Linked DNA regions of Drosophila melanogaster. The protein of the gene in region 1 purifies or fractionates together with the protein of each later gene. This does not show direct contact. Each region holds a gene or a part of one and is shown in the gene's direction. Other genes may lie near its edges.

The links. The genes of interacting proteins can lie anywhere in the genome.
Region 2: the proteins of Eps-15 (region 1) and lqf purify together in Drosophila melanogaster (affinity purification with western blotting, with the first as the bait; 2 studies listed by BioGRID). This does not show direct contact.
Region 3: the proteins of Eps-15 (region 1) and Dap160 purify together in Drosophila melanogaster (affinity purification with western blotting; 2 studies listed by BioGRID, with this or other methods). This does not show direct contact.

Annotation. Positions count from the first base shown.
Region 1 is NT_033778.4:24,767,907-24,778,208, reverse strand, and holds Eps-15 (epidermal growth factor receptor pathway substrate clone 15), read left to right. Parts: upstream 1-2,943; 5' UTR 2,944-3,235; coding exon 3,236-3,301; intron 3,302-3,395; coding exon 3,396-3,632; intron 3,633-3,703; coding exon 3,704-4,467; intron 4,468-4,525; coding exon 4,526-4,847; intron 4,848-4,907; coding exon 4,908-4,997; intron 4,998-5,205; coding exon 5,206-5,268; intron 5,269-5,413; coding exon 5,414-5,611; intron 5,612-5,667; coding exon 5,668-6,111; intron 6,112-6,171; coding exon 6,172-6,360; intron 6,361-6,418; coding exon 6,419-6,484; intron 6,485-6,884; coding exon of another isoform or gene 6,885-6,887; exon of another isoform or gene 6,888-7,911; intron 7,912-8,147; coding exon 8,148-8,790; intron 8,791-8,848; coding exon 8,849-9,528; 3' UTR 9,529-9,895; downstream 9,896-10,302. Other genes in the region: egg (eggless), read left to right, coding at 1-174, 237-742, 801-1,562, 1,634-2,350, 2,409-2,615.
Region 2 is NT_037436.4:7,525,838-7,533,073, forward strand, and holds the start of lqf (liquid facets), read left to right. Parts: upstream 1-2,942; 5' UTR 2,943-3,349; exon of another isoform or gene 3,350-3,361; intron 3,362-6,591; exon of another isoform or gene 6,592-6,776; intron 6,777-6,834; 5' UTR 6,835-6,990; coding exon 6,991-6,991; intron 6,992-7,236. Other genes in the region: ltl (larval translucida), read left to right, coding at 258-1,210.
Region 3 is NT_033779.5:21,138,054-21,145,079, reverse strand, and holds the start of Dap160 (dynamin associated protein 160), read left to right. Parts: upstream 1-2,732; 5' UTR 2,733-2,841; intron 2,842-3,067; 5' UTR 3,068-3,291; coding exon 3,292-3,455; intron 3,456-3,527; coding exon 3,528-3,902; intron 3,903-4,071; coding exon 4,072-4,511; intron 4,512-4,589; coding exon of another isoform or gene 4,590-4,601; coding exon 4,602-4,863; intron 4,864-4,923; coding exon 4,924-5,071; intron 5,072-5,137; coding exon 5,138-5,404; intron 5,405-5,477; coding exon 5,478-6,368; intron 6,369-6,718; coding exon 6,719-6,967; intron 6,968-7,026. Other genes in the region: pths (porthos), read right to left, coding at 2-1,068, 1,258-1,516, 1,577-1,774.

The DNA of each region.
Region 1 (10,302 bases):
TTGCCAGCTGGGTGTCCATAAAGGTAATCGAGTTTACAGAGAGCACCGCCATCAACGGAAACACGATGAAGAGCTACAAGATTAGGTACCTCAACACTCCGTACCAGATGATCAAGACAGTGACGGCCAAGCACATTGCCTACTTCGAACCACCGCCAGTGCGACTGACCATTGGTTAGTTCCCAATAGACCGGTTATTTATCAATCTATAAACTAACCCACTCATTGTGCACTAGGTACCCGCGTGATTGCGTACTTCGATGGCACCACTTTGTCGCGGGGCAAGGATAAGGGCGTGGTGCAGAGCGCCTTTTATCCAGGCATCATCGCTGAGCCGTTGAAGCAGGCCAATCGCTACCGCTACCTAATATTCTACGACGATGGGTACACTCAGTACGTTCCGCACCGCGATGTCCGTCTAGTTTGCCAGGCTTCCGAGAAAGTGTGGGAGGACGTACACGCCGCATCGCGCGATTTCATACAGAAGTACGTGGAGAAGTACTCCGTGGATCGTCCAATGGTGCAATGCACCCGGGGACAAAGTATGACCACTGAATCGAACGGGACCTGGCTGTACGCGCGCGTCATTGACATCGACTGCAGCTTGGTGTTGATGCAGTTTGAGGGCGACAAAAACCATACGGAGTGGATATACAGGGGTTCATTGCGCTTGGGTCCTGTCTTCAGGGAAACCCAGAACAATATGAACAGTTCAAGCGCACAGCAGCTGCGTGTCCCAAGAGTAAGCATCGTGTCGATTCATCCTGCGGTCCTAACTACAAAATGTCTTTCTTTTTCAGCGCACGGAGCCCTTTATTCGGTACACCAAGGAGATGGAGTCCAGCAGCAAGGTGAACCAGCAGATGCGTGCCTTTGCCCGCAAGAGCAGCGCCTCCGCCCAAAATAACGCATTAGCGGCTGCATCTTCGGCAGCAACCCCAGCCGGAGGACGCACCAATGCAGGAGGTGTCAGCACCAGTAATAGCGCAAGTGCTGTGCGACACCTAAACAACTCGACAATCTACGTGGACGACGAGAACAGGCCCAAGGGCCATGTAGTCTACTTTACAGCCAAGCGGAATCTGCCTCCCAAAATGTACAAGTGCCACGAGTGCAGCCCGAACTGCCTCTTTAAGATCGTTCACCGTCTGGACAGCTACAGTCCGTTAGCGAAGCCTCTGCTTTCTGGCTGGGAACGTCTTGTCATGCGGCAGAAGACCAAGAAGTCTGTGGTATACAAGGGACCTTGTGGCAAAAGCTTGCGCAGCCTGGCCGAAGTTCACAGGTACCTTCGAGCTACTGAAAATGTGTTGAACGTAGACAATTTTGACTTTACGCCCGACCTCAAGTGTCTGGCCGAGTACTCCATTGATCCCTCGATCGTGAAGGACACGGACATTTCAAAGGGGCAGGAGAAGATGGCGATTCCGCTGGTAAACTACTACGACAACACCCTGCCGCCCCCATGCACCTACGCGAAGCAGCGCATCCCTACCGAGGGTGTTCATCTGAATCTGGACGAGGAGTTCCTCTTGTGCTGCGACTGCGAGGACGACTGCTCGGTAAGACGTCTTACAGATCTGATTACCTCAAATTATACCCAGCCGCCCACTATTTTGTGTATCCCTATCAGGACAAGTCAAAGTGCGCCTGTTGGCAGCTAACGGTGGCGGGCGTGCGGTACTGTAACCCGAAGAAACCCATCGAGGAGATAGGCTACCAGTACAAGCGGCTCCACGAGCACGTGCCCACCGGCATCTACGAGTGCAACTCGCGCTGCAAGTGCAAGAAGAATTGCCTGAACCGGGTGGTGCAGTTCTCCCTAGAGATGAAACTGCAGGTGTTCAAGACCTCAAATCGTGGATGGGGCTTGCGCTGCGTTAACGACATCCCCAAGGGTGCTTTCATCTGTATTTACGCCGGCCATCTGCTCACGGAGACGATGGCCAACGAAGGCGGACAGGACGCCGGCGACGAGTATTTCGCGGACTTAGATTACATAGAGGTCGCTGAACAGTTAAAAGAGGGATACGAGTCGGAGGTGGACCACTCGGACCCGGACGCCGAGGAGGACAACGGGGGACCCGATGCCGAGGACGATGACGACTTCCGGCCAAACTATCACTACCAGCGCAAAATCAAGCGCTCTTCCAGAAGCGGCTCCACGCAGAACAGCTCCACTCAGAGCAGCGAGTTGGACTCGCAGGAGCGTGCGGTGATCAACTTTAACCCAAATGCTGATCTGGACGAGACGGTGCGGGAGAACTCGGTGCGGAGGCTTTTCGGCAAGGACGAGGCGCCCTACATCATGGACGCCAAGACAACGGGCAACCTTGGACGCTATTTCAACGTGAGTTGGAAGTTTTTTGTTATTTTGCCGTGTGGCTGATTCTCTTCTTCTCCCGCAGCACTCGTGCAGCCCCAATCTCTTCGTGCAGAACGTGTTCGTGGATACTCACGACCTGCGTTTCCCCTGGGTTGCCTTCTTCTCGGCCGCGCACATCCGCTCCGGCACCGAGCTGACTTGGAACTACAATTACGAGGTGGGCGTGGTGCCCGGCAAGGTGTTGTACTGCCAGTGCGGGGCCCCCAATTGCCGCCTTCGTCTGCTCTAAGTTCTAGCTTAAGTTAGAGATCCATACAGGAAATATACTCATTAAAGAAGAATTAGAATTAAAAATTTAAACTTTAAACATTATCTGTTCCGTTAGGGTAACGGAAACATTGCATTTTTATAAGCTACTGCTGTTCTGCACCGTCCGTTTCAAAGTACACAATTTTCTTCACGTTTAGTGTTAAAGGAATAAATATAGACAAATGAATTTTAAAAAATTATACTTTAAAAAAATAATAATGTTCGTTAATTTAACGGTATTAATTTATGTGGTATTTTAACGCATTTTACCTAGTGGTATACTTAATCATCAGCCGTACGGTATTTTTAATCGTTATCCGAACGGTCACACTATCCACCGAGCAAAAAAGCAAATTTAGGCTTTTTAAAATTCGAGAGTAGCTAAATTAGGGGCCGCAATGCGCCAAGCTCACCTGTAAGTGGCTCCAGCAAGTGTCTCGTCGCAGGTGCACAGGTGCTAGGCAGCAGGACTCCGCCGACGGCTGACTAAGAGCAGCTTATCCGCCCCTTGGGAAGAAAAAATCGATTTTGTGATAACGGGCTTACGCTTACGCGTTTTTGCACTGCTAGTCGGAACCAATTGCCAGTAGACTCCACACCATGAATGTGGACTTTGCGAGGGTGTGCGGGAAGCACATAGGCGTCTACGAGGCCTACTACAAACTGGTAAGCGCACCACGCCTCCAAGCCGCACTGTTACCAGGATGGCGGCCAATGTTGAGCATCCGTATCCACACCCACCCTCTATCGATTTTTGCAGATTGACCCCAAAGGCACAGGGGCAATCGAGGCCATGACTGCGGCCAAGTTTCTCAAGAAGTCGGGCCTTAGCGACGTTGTGCTAAGCAGGATCTGGGACCTGTCTGATCCGAGCGGCAAGGGCTTTCTGGACAAGCCGGGCTTTTTTGTAGCCCTTAAGCTGGTGTCCCTGTCGCAGGCGGGACAGGTGGCCAGCATGGCCAACATCTACCTGGACATTGCCAACCCGCCCAAGTTGGTGAGTAATCGCAACTTCGCCCGAAATGGGCAAGACGAGATATATTACATTAATGTCGCCCCAATCGCCAGGGTGAACTACCAAAAACGATGCCGTCGCGTATTCAGACTGTTCCCGTTGCTAGCGGCGGAGTGGCAAACGGAGACTGGTCCATCGGGGTGATCGATCGGCTCAAGTACGAGCAGCTCTTCGAGTCCCTGCATCCCAGTAATGGAATGCTGCCGGGCAACAAGGTTAAAGGCGTGCTCATGGACTCCAAGCTGCCCATGAGCATACTGGGAACTATATGGGACCTGGCCGACCAGGACAAGGACGGCAACCTGGATATGCACGAATTCGTGGTTGCCATGCACCTGGTCTACCAGACGCTGCAGAAGCGCACCATTCCTAGCGTTCTGCCGCCCGAGCTGCGAAAGCCCGGAGGAGCAGGTCCGCCACCGAAGCCAGCCATGCCACCACCGCCAGCGGGTGCTGCTATGCCACGTGCTCCCAGTGGGGAAGGATTTGGGGACGGCGGATTTGTAGCAAATTTTCCCAAGGATATAGCCCCGCCGGCGGCTATTCCGCCGCTCCCGGTGGCTGTGCCCCCCATGACGCGCATTCCCCCGGTGGGAGCAGTCAGCTCTCAGCCGCTGATTCAGACGGATCCATTGATACCGATTGGGGCTCCGGTGATGGCGAATGCCGACTGGGTTGTCACCCCAGCGGACCTAAAGCGGTTCGAGGAGATCTTCCGGCAATCGGATCTGGATAAGGACGGCCTGGTCTCCGGCCTTGAGGTGAAGGATATTTTCATCAAGTCGGGTATTCCGCAGCGAAGCCTAGCAGACATCTGGTAGTTATTTCGTATATAGATATTGCCAAAATATCTATAACGATGCCTTTCCTTTTAGGGCTCTTTGTGACACCAATCAGTCCGGTAAGCTGACTGTGGAGCAGTTTGCACTGGCCATGTGGTTCGTGGAGCGAAAGCAGCGCGGTGTGGACCCGCCACATGTCCTCAACGCCAATATGGTGCCGCCCTCAATGCGCGCCACTGTGGCTGGAGTCGATCTGCAGCCGCAGGAGGTCAAGCCCACTTACTCAAACCCGGAGCTGGAAATGATCTCCAAGGAGATTGAGGAGTTGGCCCGTGAGCGGCGGGTTCTGGAGACGGAGATTGCCCAAAAGGAAGCGGATGTGCGCATCAAAAACGGCGAAGTGCGCAGTTTGCAGGCGAGTCTTCTGTAACTAGTTTCCAAGTCGAATTTAATAATTCAGAATCTTCACCCACAGAGTGAACTGGATACTCTTACCGCCACACTGAAGCAGCTGGAGAACCAGCGAGGAGAGGCCCAGAAGCGACTGGATGACCTGCAGGCTCAAGTAGTTATTTGCATGATTCTTTGGGTGCTTTTGGCCCCTGCGCCACTGCTTGCCTTTTCCTTGCTCCTGGGCTTACGTTTAATTTTATATTTAAATTCAATCTTTGGTTTCCTTTCTTTATCATGTTCCCCCACCACTTTGTTAACTATTGGCTAAATCCATACTAAACCGGTGAATGCACTTACACTTACAATTACGATCGCATAAGGTTAGCCACAATACGGCCGTGCTGGCCAACGTAAGTCTTGACATATCGCGCACCAACGAGCAGGTTTGTTTCAGTTTCTCATGATTTCTGTATATATTTCTTTTGTGTTTTGTTCTCGGCCATGTAATTTATGTTTTTGACCATCTGTTGTCCGAAATATTTTTATAAAATAGCCTAATTATTGATCGAGAAACCCGCTTGCTTGCAGGTGACCAAGATTCGCGACCAGTGCCACATGCAGGAGGTGACCATCAACGAGCAGGAGGGCGAATTAAACGCAAAACGCTCGGAGCTGCAGAAGCTCAAGGACGAAGAAGCTTCGTTGCAAAAGGAGTACGACAGCAACAATCGGGAGTTATCCAAGCTAACCAACCACCTGCAGGCAACCCAACTGCAAATCAGCTCGGTAAGACTACACATGATACAATCAAGTGATCAGAGATTAACATAAGTCGTCTGAAGGTCCGATCAATGGTCACACAGCTGCTGGAGACGCAGCGACAGATGACCGACGCTTTGCTCATTTGTCGGGCTGCCATGGAGAACCAAAACGCGGAACTCGTATCCGAATACCAGTTGAAGATAGAGCCGGACTTTGATGAGGCGCGCAAGACCCTGACAAAGGAAGTGCAACTGCCCAAGGATGATCCCTTTGAGGAGAACAACAGCGGCGCCGCCAATCAAGCTACCAACGGCTTTGGCAGCGATCCCTTCTCCGGTCAGCCGGTCAACAAGCCGGCTATTTCTACAGGCTTTGATGACAGCTTCAACATGAGCTCAGGCTTCGATAGTGGCTTCGATGCCTTTGGTCAGAGCGGAGCGGGCTCAGCCTTTGGTCAGACCCAGCGGGATCCATTCGGCTCGGATGCCTTTGCAGCCAACAAGAGCAACGCCATTACTCCTGAGGTAGGATTTAGAATAGAACACTCTTATTTGTACCCGAATCACTTTTCCAATCTTATACAGCCCGGCAAGGACGACTTCGGCAGTGATCCGTTTGCTGCCTTGCATGCTCCAACCGGCCAGGGTCAGGTGCTCAGTCCCAACGCCCAGAAGTCCGGACCGCCGCCCAGACCGGAGTCTCCTAGTCCAGCATTGCCGCCAAAGAAGTCCAAGGTGCCGCCCCCACGACCAGCGCCACCACGAGCAGCCCAGGTAAGACGACTCCTTTATGCTGTACAATGGAGAATCCCTAAATTATTATGTTTGCCAGCCCACGGGTGGTTTCGGAAGCGGCGGCGGAGGAGGATTTGCCGACTTTGACGACTTCGACAATAAGGTTGGTACCCCACAATTCAGTGTCCGCTGGGATCGGTGGTAATGCATGCGCCCCGCACCCGAATCCCTGAGTTTTTTTATGTTGCTGGCATTTATTGCCGCGCTAAACCCTGGTTTTAAGTTTATTATCACTAACACTTCCTGAGTTTTGTAGAAATAAAACACTTTGATGCACACTCCAAGAACGTAGCCCTTGAGTATTATGATTTCTGACTTGTTTTGGATTTGTAGCACCTTTTGTTTACCCTTAGTAGAAGGTACTGACGGAACACATTCCACCCAGATCACCTCACCACCCAACCTCGTACATCCCAGTAGCTTTGTCATGCCATGGTCTTCTCGCTTGGTGCCGTATTGAACTAACCGTCTGGTCTTTCATCTCTGCAATTCTCTACTTTCAGTGAACACCTTAAGATAACCCATTCTATATACGACATATACCAGTACTAACACACATACTCAGTTAATGAATGGCCTCCTCTAGCAGCATAACGAACAAATCAATTTGAGCGTACAAAGCTATTTGCAGCAGCATATTAACGTATATATATCAGTCACGGTGCATGGTATAATGTCTAGAGGACGCAGCATTATCGTTCATGCCTAATTAGCTAAATGTACTAAATCAATTCAATCGAAACTCAACCGAACTCAAACCAATTTCAAGCGTTACGTATCGTGTTATAGATGTAGTCTCAAATTAAAACAGACAGCAGGCGGAAGGAATCCCCAGAGTTCCAAGTGTTCGACTCCCTTTGCTGTGCAGTATTGTACTTACCTACTATTATTAATATTATGGATTCCCCTCGAATCGTTTCAAGGCCAGTGTATTATCGCGATTAGGTTTTGAGGGTAGAGACCTCCTCTGTAAGGAATTTATTGCAAGTTGTTTGTTGTTTTTGCATATGCGAATACTAAAGTTTAAAGCAATTATACATCCATAATATACATGTATTACAAGCATTTTACAAACATACAGATATTTATGTAACTGCCGCGAAAGTTCGACTTTTACGGGCGGTCCGCCTCCGGATCCGGACTGCCTATTACTATTTACCGAAACCCTTTTCCACTCAGCTTCTAGAGCCGCTCAGTGTTCCCGGTCTGGAGTGCGTCGCGGTGTAACCAGCAGTTCGGCTTGAAAGGGGGTTGGTCTCCGCTCTACTATATAAACTACTTGTATACATATATATATATATATATTTGCCAGACCTCGATAATCATAGCCACAGACGTACGAACACCCACACCGAAACTAAGAAGCTTCCGAGCATTGATTTAATGAAAATTCATATTCCGTGCATACCACATACATACATACTGCAAGAGCAACTTTTAGAGAAGCCCGGCCTAACCGATACAGAAATGTAACCGACACAACGTTTTGCATTATTAATAAAGATATCTATGTTCGACATCATTCAACGTACGCCTGTCGGAGTTCTCTTGCTGGGGAAACCCAATATCCTCATGGTGCTGGTCACAATCTCACACGAACCACTCAATCCTCCGTGGCTGCTTTAACGCTTTTGTTGACCCTGATTGATTTCGGTTTCCCCTTTGTTGTGTTTTTTTTTTTCGATTTCGCTTAATTTGAATTCGTTTTAATTTATTTTTGTTTCATTCACTTCTATTCCCCCCCCCGACACAACGCATATACGCAGCTCCACCACATTCCAAGCGCACCCTCGCCCTCGGCCACTGCACTGTCCCCGCTCCCACCCACGCTCCCAGCCCCCATTCCGGTCGTCAGTGGATCGTCATTGCTAGACAGCTTCACGCTATTCGACGATCCCGGCCAAATCCACAAGCAGGCGGCAAGCACGCCCAATCCCACGCCCATCACTGTCCCCACCGTACACACCCTGCTCCAGACATCTTTATCCACGCCAGCAGCCCCATCCCCGGCATTGGCTTCTCTATCAACATCAGGATCGGGATCGGTAGCGGGAGCGGGGGCAGACCTCCCCAGTAGCGTCACCATTACCACCGCCCCCAGCTTGAATAACCAGCATCTGTCGCGTTCCAATACACCGCTGCAGAACCAGAGGACGGCGGATGTGAAATTGGAGACCAAGGCGGTAGTCAGTGTGTTTGATGCATTTGGAGAGATTGGAACTCGGAAGGCCCCGACTCCCAGTCTCATTACAGGGCCAACCGACTTCAAGGATGACCCCTTCAAGGATTACCGTTACGAAGATCCATTTAGCATCAAGGATCCTTTTGCCGAAGAGGGCGAGGAGGAGTTGTCAGAAGGCAAGGGTGCTGACCACAAGAGGAACTTTGCGGAGGACTTTAGCTCGGGTGGTGAGTATAGTGCTATTCTCGGGCCTATTCCTATCTAATAAAGTTTTCTATTACACAGATGAGATTGGATCAGCCGCCAAAACTCTGAGTAACATCGTGAACAATAATAGCATTAAGCCCAAGGCGGCCACGCCGCTAAACAACGACCTGCTGCAGCAGTTCGACGCCTTCAACTTGAACTCGAGTCCGGCGCCGTCGCACCACTCAGGCACTTCGTACCACTCCAACTCCAAGCCGAGCCACGACTCGCAGACGGCGCTGGACGCATTCGCTGACTTCGACGACTTCGCAGCTACGCTGGCAACCACTGGTGGATCTGGGGCTGCAACCACGGCCACAACCACTGGCAATACGAAACTCAACAATTCCTTTTTTGATGCATTTAACGACAACTTCAGTGTGATCCAGAGCTCATCAGTACCCACTGGCGTGGTCAGGCCCAACGATCAAAGGGCAAAGGCATTTGACGCCTTCAACGACAATTTCGAGGACCAATTCAAGACAAGCCCCAACGCCAACTTCGCCAAGTTCGATGGCTTCGAGGCACACAACTTCTCGAGTGACTTCGGAAACGCCTCCTTCGGAACGACGGGCAAGGAGAAGCAGAACGGGCAGGTGGACAAGAAGTTTCAGAGCAAGGAGCCGGTCAAGGACAAGTTTGCTGCAGACTATTCCAAGCCGGAGAGCTTCGACGCGGACCTGGAGGAGGCGCTGAAGCGCAGCGTACTGGACAACTAGATTATATGAAAACCTTGGTGGGTTGGATGTGATTGACCCATGAGAAGTTGCAGTGGCACATGCAATGGCTTCTCTATTCGCACCCAATCCGTTCTTTAGTGTTAGTGCTTTCTTTCCGCTTCGATCAAGACATCCTGGAGGCACACACGTACATATGTAGCTTCCATGGTATTTACTCAGTACTCCTCGTGCTCAAGGATCCGGGCGAATAGAGAAGTCCAACAAAGCCGCAGCTGGTATTAAATGCTTCATGCTATATACAACTACATATATATAATTTCGCGTAACCACATACTCGTAGAGCCTAATCATGTTGCGATTTTTAACATGTACCAAAACCCTATGAATAAACGTACGAAATAACATCACCGCTACGGAGAGGGCCAAAGAGAGAGAGAGAGAGCAGAGAGCGAGGCTCCACTCTCGCCCACACCAACACCACTGATGGTGGGTTCTCAGCAGAGCCGCCGGCAGAGCTAGTGGGCCGCTATGAATTTCATGTTCGCGATTCAGATCGCGTTTGCACTCCGGAGAAGACGTTCGTGCGGCAGTTCTGTATTTACTTTTGTGGTCACAGAGAAATGTGAGTTGCGAGTGGAGTGCGCTTGTGTGTGTGCGTCAGCCCCCCATAAAAACAAACACACACACAGGCTGCATAGGCATTATAAAAACAATTTGCCGGCGATTGCAGGCGCACACACTCAAACCGGGGGCGCCTTCTGCATGTGTATGTGCCGCTAATTACATTTATTTTGTAAACTTAATTTCCAAGCC
Region 2 (7,236 bases), on another chromosome or scaffold:
CAAGGGCTTATCAATTGACTGGGGGAATCGTAAATAGTTACAAAACAATAATTTAGAATTTAATTGCGATATTACAGTGCACATGAAGATTAAGATTTTATTTAAAAGGTAGAATAAAGAGGGTTTATTGAGTATTAAATGAATAGAAACTGCGCATGCAAACAAGTTTCTCGTTCGTTTTAAGCTGAAGTACTATACATTTGTGTTTATAATAATCATGTAATATAAATCTATAAACTCAATTATTCTTTTTCCAGACAATCCCATAATGTGTGACGTGGGATTGAACGAGCTGTGTCGATTGATGGCCGTTCAGGAGGCACGAATTCGTGGTCGATCCCAGTGCTTTGAGAATGACCAGGAGGTGTGCACCGTGCTCCCGATGCTATACAATGTGAACCTGCCCATAATGGTGACCAATCTAAAGTTGACGGGCCGCGAGGTTCCAAAGCCGATGGTTCGGGTGATCGTACCATCGCTGATCAAGGCCAATAATGAGCTATTACCGCCACTTATTGCCACTCTGGGTAATCCAGTGCTCATTAGCACCGATTTGGTCAATCCGGTGATATCGCCACTACCACCACCACTTCTGCTGGCCACCACAACGCCGCCACCGCCTCTGCCACTTCCTGTGGAATCGGAAGTTGAGAAGAATGAGTCTACCACTGCGAATCCAGTGCCAACCAATTACACACAGGAGACCACGACAACCACAAGTACCACAACGACGACAACAACAACGGAGACCAGTAGTCAGGTGGCTCCCATCGAGATTATTACGACTACAGCACCCACGACGACTACCACCAGCACCACAACACCGAAACCCAATGAAACGCTGCCCGTGATTGTGGAACTCCAGGATCCCAATCCACCGGACACTACAGTCAATCAAACTGCCCTCGTTCCGCCAGTGGTTCTAGATCCCCTGCAGCAGGATCTGGAAAGGGAGAGGGAACGCGAAAGGGAGCGAGAACTAGAGCGGGATCTGGACCACGAGGCGGTGGCCAAGACCGAGTACGAGACGGTCGAGTACATCCCCAATCTGGTGCAGCCTCCAGTGGGCAGTGATGCACTGACGCCGCCTCCGAGCAAGGCGAATGCGCTGGAGGAGGACTCCGAGTCGGTGCACTCTAACTCAGTGCACGCGGAGTATCCCCACGCGGCGCAGAGCCTCCAGATTCCCGAGGAACCGCCGGAGGAGTGAGTCCTCCGCCTGGGGGTTTGGCTCCTCGGGGGGAATCCCCCGAAAATAACCACATTATTTTACTGTAAATCGCAGAGGGATGGAGGCGGTGGAATCGATGGAGAGCGGACGGAGCAGCATGCAAACGGCGGAAGGAGCGAGTTTCGGATTTGTATGCCTTAAGTTAACTTAGTTCTTATGTTTTATTTAAGCCATCGCTAAATCGAACAGTTTGTCAGACCAAACGCTTTTTTGTTGAGTTTTTTCGTCGATTTTATGCAAAATTTGATACGATTACTGGGTTTTTGATGTAATCCTGCATTCGGGACAAACGTACGAGGACAGTCTTATGATTTAAGCTTATTTGTTGGGGGCTCAATTTCGCGTATGTGTGCTTTGGCGTTGGCAAGCGGAACTCTTTCGGTTTTCAATTTCACGGAATTTTAAACTATTTGCAGAAAACAATCCAAATATATAAATTATGTATTTTAAAATCTCTTAAATATCTAGAGCTGATACATTGATACATTGAAACACATCGAAATGGGTGATATATTTTCCGCTGGTTTAGTATGATCATAAAAAATAAATTGAAACAAACCGTGAAATTAAAAAACGAAAGCAAGACCGATAGAAACAGGAAGTTGGCGATATCGAATATGCAACTGCATATGCACATTATATATATTTAATAACTGTATACACGTATGAACGTTGAACATCTACAAGTAGGTACTTAGAGTTAAACGACAGCAACAACAAATCGCATCGAGCTAATGTTAATAACGAAAAGCACTCACTCACATACAAACACACAAAACCACACACACACAAACACAGCCGTAGTCGTGCACATGCACAAACTGAAAAAAATACGAATAAAAAAAAACGAGAAAATATATTGTTATCAGTTCGTTAACAAAATGAGAAAATAGATTTTAGCGTGTAATTATACGAAAATGAAAATGGTATTCTAAATAAAATCATAAATAAAAGTCGAGTTTGTTGTTCTCTTCTTAAAGAACTTGGCAATGTTCTTGCCGTTGTTTTTCATAAAATGGTTGAAACGGAAGTGCAAAGTTCCTTTTTTGTTTTTGAAAATGTTCTGTTGGCGCCATTTTGGGTAACCGCTAACGGTAGAGGTGGGAACTAAGATATTCGCAGCTCACAAAAACAAGAATCTAAAAACCAAATGATTATCTAATTTAACAATAAGAAAATATATTTAGAAGAACACAGAATTTTAAATCTTGATGTTGAAAATATCCATGCACAACTGTAAATACTTTAGAGAAGTAAAGTTATCACTTTCACGCAAGCAAATTCACCACAGTTTGGTAAGTTTGAGAATGCAAGTGATATCGATAGGTGATTTGTCACAGCTATCGATATCATCGAGTATCATGTTTAAAAATCGGGATGACAACTCAAAAATATCGGCGTTACATTTAAATTACTATGTAAACAACTTGTAGATAATTTTAACATTCTACTAATTAAAAGCTTAAATATTTATTGTACATATAGAAAAATAAAAAGAACGACGGTAGTTGATGGTCAAAGATAAATTGTTATTCCTTTATAAATTTTACATACCAAAAGCAAATGAATATAATTAAATAACAGGAATAATTTTGCTCTTCTGTGAGCTAGTATTTTTAAAATACTTATACTCCAAACTGATAAGAACCGATAGGTTCAGGAATAAATCGATATCGCGATATTTCGAGTGCCCATCAATTCTGGTCCACCACTAGTGCAAAGCGAAAAGCAGAGAAAGAAATAATAATTCGTGTTTTGTGCGCAGAGTGCAAAGGGTAAATAAGTTGCAATATCATCGCAATCGCAGTCGAGAGCCCTATAAACCCGATAGAGTGCCAGGATTTTTGGATATCCATATCGTGCGCGCAGCTATACTATTTTCCCCCTTTGTTGACGTCGCATTGTCGTCATCGTCATCTTGTGACCGTGTCTATTCGAGTCCGAAAAAAGAAAGAAAAGAAAGTCGTAAAATATAGAAAAGAAAACTAGTTGGGGAGGAGGAGTCGCACACACAGACACACACATACACAGCCGAGCGGAGCCCCCACACGCACACACACACAACCAAAGGCGAACTGCAGTGAAGCAACAAAACCAACAATAACAGAAACATTGCAGGTGAGCGAAAGAGTAAGTGGGAGGGGGCCACAAACATATTTCTGTCTCTCTTTCTCTTTGGGGCTTCTTTTTCTTAAATAATAATTTTCCGTAATTATAGATCCCCCTTGTCTAAACGTAATTCCCCGCTAACCGTTTTTTACAACATATGCTTATTGATAGCGCTTCTTTGGCTTTTGTTTTTTGTTGTTTTTTTTTTTATTTGATAACTGCCGTTAGCCGGTCGAGTGATTAGTCATAGTGGATCCAGGGTTGCCAGGGGCGTGGGTGGAAACGGGTTTATGTTTGCGAGGGGGGGCGGATGAGTAATGAATGAAGTTTCGCACATTCGTGTGCCCCCCAATCAGTGCGTCCGTGTGCGTATACGTGTGTGTGTAGGTGCGAGTAGTTCTAGTGTCACAAATGAAATCTAATCGCATTTCTGGCTCGTTATCATACGCACACAGCCACAGAAAGCACCCATGTAGCCATTAATATATTATATACAAATGATACCTAATATACGCCCGCATTTACAACAGATGCAGCAACATTGGAAAATGCAACAGTGCCAGCGGTATGGAGGAGGTGATGGGGGACGCCGAGGCGGATCGAGGAGGGGCCCGGCGATCGTGTGGCACAGTGGGCAGCATCAGCGAGCGAGCAGTGACCTTCGTCACCAGCGGCTAGCCCTTTCCACCTGTTTGAGGTGCTAATAGAAAAACATCTCAAGATAACCATAAACCAAAAGCAAACATTTCATTTGCGAAAGTAACGTAGATACCAGATAAGCAGATGTTTAACACAGACATTTTATTATTATTATGGTCTTTCGTTGTACAATCTTCAATGTTTGTTTGCAGTATTCTCTCCTTAAGTCGAAACAACCAAAATTATAATTTCCAATCCTCAGATCTTTGCGAATTCAATTCAATTTTTAAATATGTATTAAATTTTTAAGTTTTGTTAATCCCAAGATTGTAAGAGAATTGAGTTCAATCTGCAGGGTTTAAATAGAAAAGCTTTCTCGTTGTTTAATGATGAGATAAAAAGTATGTATTTAGGAATCATAGATTGTGGGGCTACTGACGGGCTTTCATCAATATTTTTCATCTTAGCGGAAACATGCTAAACGTCTGACAATAGTGCACGTCAAATAGCCTCGTGAATGTGGAATATTTTGCTCGCATTTAATTGCGTTTGGATATAACGAGAGTGATCGCAGACTGATCAGTACCACCGCGCATATCAATCGGCGAACAACGCACACGCTGCAGCTCCCCATTTCGAGTTTAGTTCGGTGTTTGGAGCGTTTGGGGAGCTTTTTCCGTCTCTTAGCTATACGAGTGTATACGTTCATTGAACCGCTGGCTGGCGTCAAGGCTCGCAGCCTTTGGAACAAAGTGATTCGCAACTCGTTGGGCATTCTGTTTGTTTTGATACCAACACAAGCGCAGCTGTATATTTTTTTGGCAATAAAACGAAGCGGTGACGTTTTGCCGAAAGTCAAGTGCACAGAAACACAAAGAAAGCTTCGTCATTGCCTCTGTCTGGCATTCAATTTGCTCAAGTTCAGACCACCACCACAACAAAAACAGACCGTCACCATCACCACCACCCACTTTTACTTGACTCTTGCACTTCATTTGCGTAGTGTTTTTTGTTTCGCCCGTCTTATACTGCGCGACATTTAATTAAATTATTTCGCCTTCCATTGGCCAAATGAAAACAAACAAACGAGGCAGACAAACGGCCCTTTTTCGCAGTGGATCGTTACTACGATCATCGGTCAATGAATTTCACTGCCCATTTACGAGTATGAGTATTCCCCCCTCATACCAATATTAACTCGATTTCTCGCATAGCTCGAATGCCTGCGGAACGGGTTTATCTGTGAGATACAGTTTTGAGGCGGGTTCTCGATGGAGTTTCCCCACAGCCGGCTCTTCTCGATATGTGTCAAGTGCGTTGTTTACACGAAAAATAAACAAAAATAAATGCAGACCCGTCGGACCGCATAAAGAACGGTGGTTATATCAGAAACTACAGCGATTCTTCAGCTACAAACTGGTTAATAAACGCCACTTAACTTAGCAGTATTTCTGAGATTTTGCTGGGGCCAGCTGGGGTTAATTGCTATCTTAACTGCCGAAAAGACAAAAATATCTTAACAAGCCTCATTATGTTATATGTTGTTATAAAAGTATTGCCCTTATTAATTGTTTTTAAAGTGATATCTAATCAAATTACTATATCTCGAAACAAGAAAGTGGTATATATTTGGATTTCTTAGTCTTATCGATAGCCTAATAAAATTTGGTATTCGCTTATCAAGAATATGTTTGCCTCTTTTATTTATTGCTCGATTATATTATTTTCAATAAATTTATCAACAATATAAAGTGTTTATAGTGAATATAGTAACACACGTACTTTGCGTTTTATCTACTTTTTTCCAAACAAAGCCGTAAAACGCGTGGTCTTACTTTGTACACATGCACGTAATTATCTTATGCTTAATCAGCTATAAATATATATGTACATATATTTGAAATTCTTAATGGTCGAGAACCACATTACTCTAAATTCTTCTCAAAGAACTTTCTTCGCTTTTGCAACAAAATCGATAACAATTTGATTAGCATTCTTCGCATTTAAAAATAGATGGAACCGCGCAAAGAGGGCGGTGGAAAATCAATTCATTTGCTATGAATTCTCGCTGTGCTTGTGGGTCGCCATTTAATGCATAATGCAGTTTGGTCTGAAAATTTGCATATCCAGACATAGTCGTAGACGTTTGTCTGTCCACTTTCTGATTCTTGAGCCCAGGCTATTTGCACTTTTGCGGCTTCTTGTTTCGGTCTGCCATGGGTTAAGTTCAAGCAGAGTCTCTATGAGTTAAATGAGATTGATTGGTAATACTCAAAGAGTTTGCTGCAAAAATAATATTCTTGTAAATATAAAATTCTATATATGGTTAATGGTTAAAATTCAATTGATTACAAGCACTTTCGCTGGCAAATAAATGTGACATTAATTGCTCATTTTGCTCAGTTTGTAAAAAATTATATCTTCATTTAGTTTTGTGCTGTGTATTCCCTAGTCGACTTTGAAATGTCAAGGGAAATACTCTTTTGCCATGTTTTGTTTTATTTTTTTGCCATGCTTTTCCTTTCCGTTTGCTTTTTGTTTGCCCGCAAATTGAATTATTTCTTCTAGAGGCTTTCGGGCTGGATGTATCTAGTATTGTAAAGTCTGGTGCGGTTTTTAAAGCAGCGCTTTAAAATCTCAGGGTTTCGTATCTCAAGTTTGGTTTCAACATATGCTTTCACTCTTTTTGTTTGGTGCACTTGAGTTTGGCGATTACTTTATCTATTAATTTGTGTGTTTTGCACCGATGCAACAACAGACACAACCGACATTTGACTCTATATAAATATGTATATCCGTATGTGTACTCTCTTACTATGTATTTTGATTGTATTTATCTTGTATCTCATATATAGCTTGCTTTGGAGCACTTAAACAGCAATAAACATAAACCAAAACGAATTTAAAAACAAAAAGAGCAAAAAAGTCTAAAGCCTATTCAAGCAAAAGTCCAAAGTTTCTGTATAGCAAATAAAAAAAAAAAACCAAGTCAAACGCAAAAACAAACGAAAAGTAAGTCTGAATGTCAATTCATCTCATATAACTTCAATTTCTTTTCCACAAAAAAAAAAAAACCGCCAATTATAAATGGGACATACTGAAAATATTCGATCTGATTTGATTTGAAACTAAAGTTTCAACTCTCACCACACCGAGCCGCAACACAGAGCAGCAAAACTCACCAAAAAGATCACGTAACACATTCCACATACGTTCCACACCAACTGGTACCGACTCATCTTCACCGTTTTTCTTTG
Region 3 (7,026 bases), on another chromosome or scaffold:
CCTATCTCTTCTGCTTGCCCTTGCTCCAATTCTTTTTGCCAAAGCTCTTTCTTCCACCACCGCCAGTGCCGCCCATCGGTTTCATGCGTTTGCGTGCGCCCGTGAAGTTCTCCGAATCATCGTGGGTGTCCCCGCCCCTCTTGTGACCACCCCTTGTATCTTCCAGATCCTTCAGCTCCAGTTTTGCAGTGCGCTGTGCTTCGGCTACTCGTTCTTGAAGGGCCATCACCTCATCCTCCTCGCACTTATACAGTGTCAGTTGCTTCCCCAGTAGATGTTCGATGCGCTGATACAACTCAATGTCGTACTGGCTCACGAGGGTTATGGCTTTGCCGGAGCGACCTGCTCTTGCTGTTCTTCCCACGCGGTGAATGTAGTCTTTGCTGTGCGTTGGTATGTCGAAATTAACGACGACATCCACATGAGGAATGTCCAAGCCGCGGGACGCCACGTCCGTCGAAATGAGTATTGACCGGTTTTTGGCCTTGAATTTGTTTAAAGCAGCTAGTCGCTTGTTTTGCGACATTTGACCGTGCAGCGGAATAGCAGCCAATCCCAACGCACGAAGCATTAACGCTGTCTTAACCGTGTTGTTGCAGGTGCTGCAAAATATCATGAAACTGTTGCCTGCCAGCTCATTAAGGATATGAACCAAATACACATCCTTGTATTTGACAGGGATAAACAAATATGATTGCTGCAGCTGCTCAACCGTCTGATACTTGTTAGACACCTCTACCTTTACGGGATCCTTAAGGGAGGCACGCTGCAGTTTCTTTACTTTCTTGGTCATGGTCGCACTGAACAGAAAGGTTCGTCGTTCACGCGGCAATACCTTCAGAATCTTGTCCAGCTCCACCTCAAAATCCATGTTAAGAATGCGATCCGCCTCGTCCATGACCAAGTATTTAATAGCCTTAAGGTTAAAACCTTTCATGTTTTCTAGATGATCAACCAAGCGACCCGGTGTGGCAATTATAATATGCGGCTTCTTGGCCAGTTGAAGACCCTGGGCTACCATGTCCATGCCGCCGACTACCACGCAACACTTTATGCCAATCCCGCTACCTGAAAAAAACAGAGCTAGCATAAGTTTGGCAGAAGGAAATTCAAGAATACGATAAATGGGAAGGTTTTTTTACTCAGAGGTAGTGACGAATAAGAAAATTATAATTTCATATTTTCGTTGATACACAAAATCAAAACAGGTTTAACATCACTGCGAATTAAAAGCACATAAACTATGCGAAAACTCACCAAGGGCTTCAAACTGCTCGCCAATTTGAAATGCCAGTTCCCTCGTGGGGGTTAGCACGAGGGCAAAATACCGCTGCGGATTCTCGAGAAGGGCGTGTAAAATTGGCAGAGCGAAGGCGCCCGTCTTGCCGGAACCGGTCTCCGCTAGGCCAATTACATCCTTGCCCTGTAAGGCGACCGGAATGGCCTCACGTTGGATCTTCGAAGGCGCCTTCCACTTCAATTCGTCACATGCTTGACACAAAGCCTCATTGAGACCCTTTGAAGAAATATGGCCATTCGATTAAATTTTAATTTAAATTAATAGTGGGGCTCATACGAGATCTTTCCAGGTTAGCTTCTGTTCCTCGGCTGCGTCGTCCTCGGAGCCTTTATCATCTTCACCACTTAGTGCCGCCTCGCTGTCCCCTTCCTTATGATTGTTATCTTCATCTTCCTGCTCCTCCTCGCTACCTAGATCCTCCTCTTCGTCACTCGTTTGTAGCTGCGTCTGTTCGTCCTCTGAAGTTTCCGACATTTTGTTACATGAGTTTCAGAAAAATTTCACGGTACGGACATTACCAATAGCAGCACGTGGTCGAAATAAAAGAATTAGAGGCGGTAAAATAGAAATAGAACTATTTGCGATATTATCGATATAGTTGCGTCTTTAAAACAGTGCAGATTCATGATAACTTTCGATAGCTAATGTGCGATATATCACATGCACACTTAATAAAATTTGTAACTCATTCATACTGAACCATGATCTTAATTACAGGACTTAGTTATAGTGCAAATAGTTTGTTTCGGAAATATATTCACATTTGTATAAAATCGTAATTTGTTAGAAAATTGTTTAATATTGTGATTTTGTCATTTCAGTTAATATAACAATGTTTGAAAATAGATGGTGAATACAAATTTGGTATACATCTTTTTCCATCGCGCAATTTTAAATTAATGAAACGCCAATTAGAGGGTTGTCTGTCATGAACTGTCAACGAATAAAAACTGTTTGACATTTTCATACACAAATGTTATTGATGCTATTATTAACAATTCCGTTAAATCCGGAACAAAAGATTTCTGAATAATTGTCATTTTTAATTGTATAGAAATATTAAAGACAATAAAAGAAAAAAATAGTTGAAATAATTTAACTGACTTGTACTTAACATTTTCTTATAATTTTGGATATTCGAATTTTAATCTTCGATTTTGTTTATTGCGATCTGTTGATGTTTTGGTTAGGTATACATTTTCGTATTGTGTTAAATGCATCATACTGCCGACATAATTTTTATGAGGTTCACTGTAGAAGTAATATAATTAATATATTACTCATAGTCAGTAGTTGTTTCATTTATTTAAAAATCCGTTAGCGGCTAAAAACAAAAACGTTGCAGAATAGTCACATCCAACTTAAGGTCACCGTACTTTTCAACACTTGCTTGCTATAATCACAGAAACAAGCGACGGTCACCCTCCTTCGATTATTAGTCCGTACCTATCGGAGCCTATCGTTCGTCGATATAGGATCCTATCATATAAAATATTGATTAAAATTTACGCAAATACAAAATTTTCTTGTTCCGATGAAAAGTAAGCAACAAAATTACAGTTAAGAGGGATATATAAGAGAATAACGTGTGCGTTGGCGGGGACCATACCACATCATTACTTATCAGTTAATTCGTGGCTATGCGGTTGACAAGTGAAAACGCCTACTAAAGAGAAACTAAAACCTTCAGAAAGCGAGTAAAGGGGGCAATCTATCTTTACAACCTGTCCATTGAGATCGCTTAATATTTTTGGAAATGCTTTATAGGTAAACCATAAAAATCCATTGTGAAAATTTGTGGGGGTGGTGGATACTGAATAGGCGATAGACGTAGTAAAGAGAGCGGCGAAAAGAGTGCGGAGCGAAAGAGTTTGTATTTGATGTGTACTCAAAAGTAGCCGAAGAGAGCGCACTAATACACACGCATACGGAAAAAGGACGATAAAGAGGAAGAGCTTTCCGTGGAAACTAGGATAAAGTGTTTGCCCAAAATGAACTCGGCGGTGGATGCGTGGGCTGTGACCCCGAGGGAGCGTTTGAAGTACCAGGAACAGTTTAGGGCACTCCAGCCGCAGGCAGGATTCGTTACCGGCGCCCAGGCCAAAGGGTTCTTCCTGCAGTCCCAGCTGCCGCCCCTGATCCTGGGCCAAATATGGTATGTATATTACGCCCCCATGAATCATCCACCGATAAGAGTGTTAATTCTTACTCATTTTCTTATCTCCAGGGCTCTGGCGGACACTGATTCCGACGGCAAGATGAACATCAATGAGTTCAGCATAGCCTGCAAGCTTATCAACCTCAAGTTGCGCGGCATGGACGTTCCCAAGGTTCTTCCTCCCAGCCTGCTGTCGTCTCTTACCGGCGATGTCCCCTCGATGACGCCACGTGGCTCCACAAGCTCCTTGAGCCCTTTGGATCCACTCAAGGGAATAGTTCCGGCAGTAGCTCCAGTTGTTCCCGTTGTGGCTCCACCGGTGGCTGTGGCTACTGTCATTTCACCGCCTGGAGTCTCAGTGCCGTCTGGCCCCACACCCCCCACCAGCAATCCACCTAGTCGCCACACGTCTATCTCAGAGCGAGCGCCATCGATCGAGTCTGTGTAAGCATCACTTAGAATCGAATTAATGATTTAATATTATTAATGTAGCAAAGAAGAGATAATTTAATTAATTAAATTTCAAATATTCTTAGTTATTGAAATATTAGCAAAAACATATATATAATATCGTATCTGTTCTTAACTCCTCAATCAACTTCTATCCTTTTAGCAACCAAGGAGAATGGGCCGTTCAAGCTGCCCAAAAGCGTAAATACACGCAGGTGTTCAATGCTAATGATCGCACCCGATCTGGTTACTTAACTGGATCCCAGGCACGCGGCGTTCTCGTACAGAGCAAGTTACCCCAGGTCACGCTGGCCCAAATCTGGACGCTGTCCGACATCGACGGCGATGGACGGCTGAACTGCGACGAGTTTATTCTTGCCATGTTCCTATGCGAGAAGGCCATGGCTGGTGAGAAAATTCCGGTTACCTTGCCCCAGGAATGGGTACCGCCCAACTTGCGCAAAATAAAATCGCGACCGGGATCGGTCTCAGGGGTGGTATCCCGTCCTGGCTCACAGCCGGCCTCCCGACACGCATCTGTTTCATCCCAAAGCGGAGTGGGAGTCGTGGATGCTGACCCAACAGCCGGACTACCTGGACAAAGTAAGTGCTTAATTAACTCCGTTGCCAAACATGTGAATATATTCCATATATTAACACTTGTGATTTCGCGTTCACCAGCTTCCTTCGAAGACAAGCGAAAGGAGAATTATGTTAAGGGTCAAGCAGAGCTGGATCGTAGGCGCAAAATTATGGAGGACCAGCAGCGCAAGGAGCGGGAAGAGAGAGAGCGAAAGGAGCGTGAAGAGGCTGATAAGCGTGAAAAGGCTCGTTTGGAGGCCGAGCGTAAGCAGCAGGAGGAACTAGAGCGACAGCTCCAACGCCAGCGAGAGATTGAGATGGAGAAGGAGGAGCAGCGCAAGAGGGAACTGGAGGCTAAGGAGGCGGCCAGAAAGTAAGGACTTTTATCTTGCTTTGAGCGACAAAACAATGTATACAATTTCTATTGTATCAGGGAGCTTGAGAAGCAGCGCCAGCAGGAATGGGAGCAGGCTAGAATTGCCGAAATGAACGCACAGAAGGAGAGGGAACAAGAACGTGTTCTAAAGCAGAAGGCACACAACACCCAGCTTAATGTGGAGCTCAGCACACTGAATGAAAAAGTAATGTTCTTAAAGTACAACTAATCTATATGGCTGGCCTATCTAACTAACTCGGCTTAATTACAGATCAAGGAGCTTTCGCAGAGGATTTGCGACACTCGTGCCGGCGTGACAAACGTAAAGACCGTTATCGACGGAATGCGCACCCAGCGCGACACTTCCATGTCCGAAATGTCGCAGCTGAAAGCGCGGATTAAGGAACAGAACGCTAAACTGCTTCAGCTCACCCAAGAGAGGGCCAAGTGGGAGGCCAAGAGCAAGGCCAGCGGGGCTGCCTTGGGAGGGGAGAATGCGCAGCAGGAGCAACTGAATGCCGCATTCGCCCACAAGCAGGTGAGCTTTGGCATATACGTAAAGTTTTAGTATTCAACGGATTCTCTAAAATACTATTTACCTTTTTCAACAGTTAATTATTAACCAAATAAAGGATAAAGTCGAGAATATCAGTAAAGAGATTGAGTCAAAGAAGGAGGACATCAACACTAATGATGTACAGATGTCTGAGCTCAAGGCCGAGCTCTCCGCTCTAATCACAAAGTGCGAGGATCTGTACAAGGAATACGATGTGCAGCGCACCTCGGTGCTGGAATTGAAGTACAATCGAAAGAACGAAACTAGTGTATCGTCGGCCTGGGACACAGGCTCTTCCAGTGCTTGGGAGGAGACGGGTACGACTGTCACCGATCCCTACGCAGTTGCGAGCAATGATATCTCCGCACTGGCCGCTCCAGCTGTGGACTTAGGGGGACCGGCCCCAGAAGGATTCGTGAAATATCAAGCAGTATACGAGTTCAACGCACGCAACGCGGAGGAGATTACCTTTGTGCCTGGTGACATTATCCTGGTGCCATTGGAGCAGAACGCCGAGCCGGGATGGTTGGCTGGCGAAATAAATGGCCACACCGGCTGGTTCCCTGAATCCTATGTGGAGAAACTAGAAGTCGGTGAAGTTGCTCCTGTCGCCGCTGTCGAAGCCCCGGTTGATGCTCAAGTGGCCACCGTGGCTGACACCTACAATGACAATATCAATACCAGCTCGATTCCGGCAGCTTCCGCAGATCTGACTGCCGCCGGCGATGTCGAGTATTATATAGCCGCATATCCTTATGAGTCCGCCGAGGAAGGCGATTTGAGCTTCAGTGCCGGTGAGATGGTCATGGTCATCAAGAAGGAGGGTGAGTGGTGGACAGGTACCATTGGTAGCCGCACGGGCATGTTTCCTTCGAACTATGTCCAAAAGGCTGATGTGGGCACAGCGAGCACAGCCGCTGCCGAACCGGTAGAATCTCTTGATCAGGTAAGTGGATAGATAGTACATAATTAAGTAATGTGTGGGGCCATTTGCGTTTTAAATTGATTGGAACTAGAATCAAGAATTATAATATTATTATGTATACAAAATCGTGTACAATTTCATATTAAAAAAAAGTAAGCGACATTATTTATATAAGAGAGAAGTGAATTTAGTTCCCATATAAGAGAATATAAACGCTAAATATACAGGCCAACACTTTATCTTACTTGTAAAGAGTTTACAATCCCGAAGTCTAGAGTCGTGTCTAACCGTTGCCCTCACGTCCATCTACTAATCCAATGCTTTTCATGTGCTGTGCTTTTTGCTACCGTGTTACACTTGCACTGACCCAGGAGACGACGCTAAACGGCAACGCTGCCTACACCGCTGCTCCCGTGGAGGCACAGGAGCAGGTTTACCAGCCGCTGCCTGTTCAGGAGCCCAGCGAGCAGCCGATATCTAGCCCAGGCGTTGGCGCCGAGGAGGCGCACGAAGACCTCGACACTGAAGTTTCCCAGATAAATACACAGTCCAAAACACAGAGCAGCGAGCCTGCCGAGAGCTACAGCCGACCCATGTCACGCACCTCTTCCATGACACCCGTAAATAGTTGACACAGCCCGTTACCACTTCATTTATTGTTTCATTTAATGAACCAACA